Linked DNA regions of Caenorhabditis elegans. The protein of the gene in region 1 purifies or fractionates together with the protein of each later gene. This does not show direct contact. Each region holds a gene or a part of one and is shown on either strand. Other genes may lie near its edges. The genes, in order: K08B12.1 and F54C8.1.

What was found.
Region 2: the proteins of K08B12.1 (region 1) and F54C8.1 fractionate together in Caenorhabditis elegans (co-fractionation; one large-scale study listed by BioGRID). This does not show direct contact.

What each region holds. Positions count from the first base shown.
Region 1 is NC_003283.11:6,257,286-6,261,380, reverse strand, and holds K08B12.1 (Fungal lipase-type domain-containing protein), read right to left. Parts: upstream 2,015-4,095; 5' UTR 1,911-2,014; coding exon 1,662-1,910; intron 1,607-1,661; coding exon 1,181-1,606; intron 1,110-1,180; coding exon 660-1,109; 3' UTR 604-659; downstream 1-603. Other genes in the region: Serine/threonine-protein kinase mrck-1, read left to right, coding at 312-603, 2,203-2,400, 2,457-2,604, 3,319-3,351.
Region 2 is NC_003281.10:9,437,604-9,441,461, reverse strand, and holds F54C8.1 (putative 3-hydroxyacyl-CoA dehydrogenase F54C8.1), read right to left. Parts: upstream 1,764-3,858; 5' UTR 1,714-1,763; intron 1,701-1,713; coding exon of another isoform or gene 1,606-1,700; intron 1,556-1,605; 5' UTR 1,553-1,555; coding exon 1,343-1,552; intron 1,297-1,342; coding exon 832-1,296; intron 787-831; coding exon 565-786; 3' UTR 520-564; downstream 1-519. Other genes in the region: emb-30 (Abnormal embryogenesis protein 30), read left to right, coding at 4-171, 217-380, 425-519, 1,606-1,700, 1,931-2,343, 2,402-2,653, 3,013-3,267, 3,329-3,443 and 1 more.

The DNA.
Region 1 (4,095 bases):
CACGACAATTTTTATTAAAGTCAAAAAGATGTGCACCTTCGAAGATTACTGTATTTTCTAAATTGTACTGCGGAGGAATTTTCATGTTTTTCATAGTTTTCTCGATAAATATATGTTTTTTAACTCAAATGTAACAATAAAAACAAATAATTTTGAAAAAATCTTGAGCTATGAAACTATGAAAACTCGATTAAAATTTCGCAGCAACAAATATTTAAAATTACAGTACTCTTGAAAATTTGTCGCGTTGAGACCGGATACCGTATTTTTATTGCTAAGTTTTGCGCCTGGTTGCAATGAAATTTTTCCAGCTCTTGTCAACATGGAGGACACTTCACTGCAATTCCTCAACCAACAAACATCCTACGAGGCAAAATTGATTGTGAATGTACCAGGTTCTCCAGATGAATATCTCCTCGTGTTCAATATGATTGGTCTTTATGTCAACGAAATGGGCCGTCGATCTAGGCTACCAGAAGTGATGTTCCCGACACAGGCCAAATATTTCGCCTACCACGAGCCGTATTTATGTGTGTTCTCGGAGAATGAAGTCGACATTTTCAATGTGACCCTTGCTGAATGGGTTCAAACAATCAATTTGAGGTAAGATTTTATTAATATTATTATTCATATTATTAGAGAAATTATATAAATGTAAACTAAATAAGTTGGCCACGGGGGCAATGATTTCTCACAAAGTCATCCTGATCGACTTGGAAGTAACTTGTATGATCAGCCAAATTGCTCATGGCGGTGTTCCGACATCCAAGATCATCAGCTACGGAGCACACATTGAATCCATCTCCCTTTCCCATATTGTTATCATAATGCACCAGATATCGGTAATGCATTGCTTGTCTATTATATTGAGCTGCAGTAAGAACTGCTGGATTGAGTGGAGCTGGCATATTTGGAACTGGATCTCCACGCTTGATTACTCGATAACGGAATGGAATGTTCTCTTCGATTTCCTTGGCGTAAGCAATGTTTCCAGTACGTGGCTCACCGAACGTGATAAGGCGGATGCGATTTTTATCGACAGACTTCTTCTTGACAAGATGGAGCGCTGTCATGGAAGCAAGAGATCCTCCGAGAGAGTGCCCAGTCAACTGAAATTTATTTGATTTTTAAAAATTTAGAATCAACGAATAATCTCAATTTTAATCTTAAACTAGCTCACCCAAACTCTATAGTTTCTGTGTTTCTTCATCAAATCAACTAGATCATCTTCCATTCCACTATCAATGAAAAGTCTGTAGAATGCAGTATGGAAGTAATTGATTACTCCTGCATCCTGCGACTCAAATTTCTCCCATGCTCCAAGTTGAGCAGTCAATCCATGAAGCATCTCAGCGAAAACTTGCTTTCCTGCAGTACTTCCCTTGTAGGCAACGTACAGGGCCTTGGCTTCTTCGCTCTTTGCAATGATTCCCTTGCACAGATTTCCAGATCCATCACATTCAACTTCGTAGGATCGGGAAAATGAGATATCTGGGCGAACATTTCTCAGACATTCTGTCACATTGCTATCACGAACAGCTGTGGCGACGGCGAACAAGGATCTTCCCAAAGCGTCGGTGTACCGTTTTCCAGCTGTTGGTTTGTACTGAAATTTAAAAAAAACCTAGTCTGTCGTCATATGGTTTGCAAAAAAAACGTACTGGTGTTGGGCATTTGAAGGCATCTTTTTGGATAACTGGTTTTCCGATTGGGCAAGAAATCGGTCCACCACACGTGTTAGTCTCGAGGCACCATCGGCAGTCTTCTTTGAATCCAAGGATGTGAATATAGCTTTCCGCACAAGTCTTACAGTCTTGAATGTCCTTGCAAACTAGTACGTTGCCAGCTTGACCGAGTGAAATTGCCAATGTGGCAAAGGCCGCGAGAGCGAAGACCTCTCGAAACTTCATCAAGGAAGCAGGGAGAAAGAAGAAATTCGAAAATCGAACGTAAATATTGGAAGATCCGAGAAAGAAAAACAGGAGGCAAAGAAATTGGGTTGTTGGCCTAGTTTGATCCGTTTAGCGCGCGGTGAAAAGTGAAAATGATCATCACCTATATCATCTTGTGAATCCTTTCGCCTTCAGGATCATCATTAGTCTTATCGTGTGTATCTTATCAGTGTAGTTGTTGCCATGAAATTAAAGGGATAATTGTTAATTTAAATTTTAAAATATTGATAGTTGTATGTTAAAATTTCAGATCGGCAAAACCACTTTCTGGTGATGGAATTCTCTCAACATGCCTTTGCAATGACTCTCCAATATTCGTACTTCTTCAAAATGTGCTCCAAGATCAAGATTCAATAGAAGTTCCAGTGAATTTGGCATCTGGAAGCACTGATGGACGGAAAGTGACGCGACGGAAGTTCACCTTCCGAACAATCGGAAAAGATGATAGGTATACATCAACCGAACAACATTATTTTATGAACCAAAATGGTAGCTTAATTTCAGGAGTGCTTCGGAGCGTCGGAGTCACATACAAATCTCGACCCCATCGGATTTCATGCATATAGTTCATATGGGTCCCGCACCGGTCATGGAGCTACAACAAAATTTCATTGACTTGCAGTCGAATCATTCGCATACTTCATCCGATAAGGTGAGATTTCTTGTTAGATAATTAAAATGAAAAAATTCAATATTTTTACTAAAAATTCAAATTAATTGAAAATCAGTCAACGAAGGAGTCGCGAAAAAAATTGATTTTTTTTTGAAAATTTCCTAATTTTTTTGCAGTTTTTAAAAAAATTTCATATTATCATAAATAGGAAATATTAAATAGCTAAAAATTCAAATGTTTGTTTTTTTTTCATTTTCAAGAAAAGTACGTTTCAAAAAATTCAAATATTTTCAAAAATTTTCGTTTTCATTTTAAACTCAGATATTCCAGAAATATTATCAACTTATGATATTACGGGAACACAAATTTCCGAAAATGCATATTGCGCAACATATTTGACGTGCAAAATATCTCGAAGCGAAAACTACAGTAATACTTTACATGAGTACTGTAGCGTCGATTTACGTGTCATTGATTTATCGAACTAATATTAAAACAGTAACAAAAAACGATAAAATATTACGAAAAAAAACAGATGAAAATGGAATATCGCTGTCACTATTCGGGAATAAATTAATTTAAAAAATCGAGCCCGTAAATCGACACTTGCGCTACAGTAGTCATTTAAAAAACTACTGTAGTTTTCGCTAAAAGATATTTTGCCCGTAAAATAAGCTTTGCAATACGCATTCGCTGAGCTTTGTATTCCCGTGAAATATTAACATATCTCATTCCTAAAGCCAATTTTTTCAGGATTCACTGAACAGATCTGTAAATAACGACTAATTCTGCAACTCTCTCCTTCTCGTCTACATACTTATTTTTCTCCCAATTTCCAAAAAATCAAAACGATGTAAATCTGGTGCTATCTCCCTCTCTAGACATAACGCCTTCATATCTGGTGCCCTCCCCCTCATCCCCTCATCAACTTTGTACTTCTTGTGCGTTTTCTCTTTTTTTTCTCACTTCCGTAGAACAAGCATAATTTTAGAAATAATCCCCCTCCCCTGATCATCTATTTATTGACTGTCTCTTGTACTCATTGTGCACACTTCTCTATCCAAAGTCGTGACAATATTACCATTTTCTTTTTTTTTTAAATTTTCTTACGCTAATTTATTTCATTTTACATTTTTCACTCCTCTCTCATCATGTCTCATTTCAAAAATTGCTCTCTCTCTCTCTTTCTCAACGAAACGATTATTGCTATTCAAATTTTCGATTATTTTTTCAATAGAGAAAAATATATGTCTTGTCTTTTTTCTGTATAACTAAGATTTTTAAGATATTGCTTCAAAACCACCTTTTTTCTCAAATTTTCCGCCTTTTCGCTCGACATTCTGGTGTGTAATTGTGTGTCCGTTTTCTTTTTATGTGCTTAAACTCCTTTCAAAGTCTCACTGAGAGATAAAATCTGTTTTTTTAAGTTTGGAATTATTTCTCCTAGACATTCAGCTTCACAACACTTTCAGGTCTTTGAACATGCGAAAATTCAGTTTCAACTATTCATTCACATTATTCATTATTTTA
Region 2 (3,858 bases), on another chromosome or scaffold:
CAGATGGACTTTTCAATAGTCAAAACTCAAATTCTCAATAATAGGCGGACATTCCGCACACCATTCAAAGTGTCGAGTATGTGTTTCAGTTCGCAAAATGATCTCATCGCTCTTGGATCGAAAACTGGCGAAATATTGTTGAAAAGAACATCATGGAAAATGATTTGGAAGGTAACAGGAAGATTTCAAAAATATTATCAAATCAGGATATTTCAGACCAATATCAATATGATTCAAGCTGTCGGAACCGAATGTAAATTGGACAGCTCTGTTTCTGCATTGCACTTTTCACCGGATGGACGCTTTCTCGCAGCAGCTACAAGTAAAGGCATAATACATTTGTTAGATGTGGAAACGGGAAAAGTTCGATTTTCAGTCAAGTAAGAGATCTATATAATAGTTCGAAATATCTATTGAAATTCAGAGCTGCATCCGAAAAAATCGCCAAACTCCACTGGAATTGTGTTCGTGAGAAGCCATTTATAAGCAATCTTGGAGAATTCACTACAAGAATCAAAAGTAAGAATGTTTTATTCTATCAAAAAACAGAAGTAATCTTTCCTATTATTTCTTGTACGAGTAGAATCCGTCACCAGTTTTTCTTCCAAGTTTTCCCTCGGCAACCAGCTTATCTACCAATGGACTTGCTTCGAATAGTTGTACTTCTGGATACTTTGCTGCCCATCCATCCATGACGAATTTGACCGTGTCGAGACCAATGTAGTCGGCCAGCTCGAATGGTCCCATTGGATGTCCTGCTCCCAACTTCATGGCTTCATCGATGTCCTGAAACGATATTTGGAGTTTTTAGAAAGCTGAAAATCAACATACGGTCATTGATGCATCTCCTCGTTCATACATTCTCGCTGCTTCGAAAAAGTATGGAATAAGCAGACGATTGACAATGAATCCAGGACTATCCTTACAAGCGACTGTTGTTTTTCCAACAGCTGTTCCAAACTTGATCAGCGTTGCATATGTTTCATCCGAAGTGTCATCAGATCGAATTACCTCGAGAAGCTTCATAACTGGCACCGGATTGAAGAAGTGGAGTCCTCCGAAGCGAGTTTTATCTTGCAATCCTTTGGCGACATCCTCAAGAAGGAACGATGAAGTGTTCGTGGTCAAAATCGAATCCTTCTTGCAAGACTGCTCGATTTGGGCAAAGATTCCCCGCTTCAAATCGATGTTCTCAATGGCGGCTTCGATGATCAGATCGGCATCAGCAACGGCGGTTGACACATTGTTACACGTTTTGATACGTGACATTGTGAGAGTCACGAAATCCGACTTTTCCTGGAAAAAACAAGAATGAGAATCTTCAAACAATTACGATATATACCTTATCAGTTCCTTTTTGCTTTTTTGAAAGATGCGTCACACTTTGACTAATTGCCTTCATCGCTCTATCAAGTGCTTTTTTATTAACATCGGCCAGCATCACATTGAATCCACTACTCGCCGTAACTTGAGCTATTCCCGATCCCATCTGCCCTGATCCAACGATCGCCACGTTTCTGATGTTTTGCATGGCACACTTTGCTGTGAACATCATCTGAAATTAATTCTAATTAGAGACTCCTTAATCAATATCGAAAATTTCAGATGTTGAAGCCATCGAAGGAGCTATCGAATTGGCAGAAACGACACCGAACATCAGTCAAGAGGAAATCGCATTCGTATACCAGAGGCTTGATGAGGTAAGAAACTAACCTTGATGATATGATCGACGTGTTTTGCAACAAACAATTGAGAGAAATAATTGATTTTTCAATCAAATTCGACCATATCAGATCTACTGACGTGGTATTTTCCGTGGAATTGTTTAATTAATTTCACATGAACTATTCGAAATTAAAATTTGAAAAAATCGACAGAATCTGACTTTTTTCAATGAAAAAAAAACTGTTCCTCAATAATTTTGTTTCAGGATGGTTCATCTTTCAAACACGAAGATGCACATAAAGAAAGTCTCGAGCGAACTCTGATTTCAACTGAAACATTCCGTGAATCTCTTCAAAATACGATCCTTCTAGCAACTGATGACATGGATTCGAAGATTATTGTACTTGTTGCTGGTGTGTTCCCATATATGGAAATTGATATCAGTGACACACTTCTACAATACAATCAAAGCCTTCTCATGCTCTACGATATGCACTACAGTTCAGCGTTTGGTGGCGTATCATTTCTCGCCACTACATATGGGCCATTTCTGGACTGCAAACAAAATGAGTTGAAGCCTCCTGGAGCTGAACCAAAAAAAGATGGCCAAGGATGTCATACGCTGCTTTTCAATGTTAAATTGAATATTAATTCGTCGCTTTGGGATACTGCGCTGAGGTAAGCTTTTGAATTTCTGCGATAAGCTCGAACAATTTACTTTTAAAAATAAATTTAGATACATTCGCCTTCTATTTGGCTTCAACTTGTACAGCATTTCTCTGGAAACTACAAAACGAAATTGGGAAGAGCAAATAGACAATCTTCACTCATTATTCGATACAAAAACGAAAGCTGTAAAAATTGGAAATGTGCTTCTCGAAATGCTGCTCTCCGGGTCGACAGATGCGGCTGGCGAGGCATTTCTTGAACGAGGTCTCGGAACTGATGGATTGGATAAAATTGAGCTTTTTGCAACGAAGCACATGCCGTATGTAATATTACCTGAAATGTTGCGATTTTTGGGTGAAGGTCTCGACACGACAATTTTTGTTAAATGCAAAGAGATGAGCGCCTTTAAAGAACACAGCGGAATTTTAATTGATTTTTTAAAAAGTTTTTCCTTAAGAAATTTTTTAATTAAAACAAAAAAATTTAAACAAATCATGAAAAAAACTTGAGCAAACCCGATATGTAAGTGTGATTACAGTACTCTTTAAAGGTACACACCATTTTCGCATTTAACAAAAACTCGTCGTTTCGAGACCCGTTACGGTAGTTTTGTCGTAAAAAGCGCAACATTTCGCAACTGGAATATATTATTTGTTACTAATTTTAATCGGTTTTCAGGGAAGTTTGTCGTATTGCTCGGGGACAACTCTCAACGTCAGCCCGAAATTTGTGCTTCCAGCGATGTGAATTCTCGACATCATTATCTCGTTATGCAAAGTTTATTCAATTGAAAGATGACGACAGTTTTCTTTATGATGAGGATCCGCCAGCATACCTGTCAGAATCGAATATTTGGCTGAACACTTTGGAAGAGAAAATCAATATTCTTGATATGAAAACTCGTCATCTTGGAATTCAATGCTTGACTATGATGTAAGAAATCTGACGATCTAGATGTAGACAATAATGATAATTTAAAAAAACCAAATTTCAGGCAAGAACTTGGACATCTCGTCAAATGGATATCCATGACAAAACCATTTGCAAAAACGATGAAAGTTAATGCTTTGATGAAAATAAAAAGAATGAACATTGCAAAAATTCTGCTTGTAAGCCATTTATATCCTTTACTTTTATACAGTACACTTTTTTCAGTACATTGTGAGAAATTTCATTCCGGATCCAGAAGCAGTGAAAGATATCGAAAACAGACTTTTCAACCTCAAGGAGTTGGTTTCGAAGCAAAAGAAAAAAGATTTGGAAGACAAGTTTGATGAGGTTGAATATCTCTATAGACTTGAGAGAATTGCCGAAGTTGAAAGGAAGAAATTAATCGAAACGTATGTTTTGTAACATGACTTCTAAATTTTTGAAGTATTCTGAAACTCAGAATTTTTTTGCGGAAAATTATTGAGATATTTGGAATCAGGATGCCAAAAACCCCTATAATCCCCAGATTTGTTGGAAACACCCGAGGCATCGTGTTTGCTACTGGATCATAAGATTCCCGAAAAAACCTCAAAA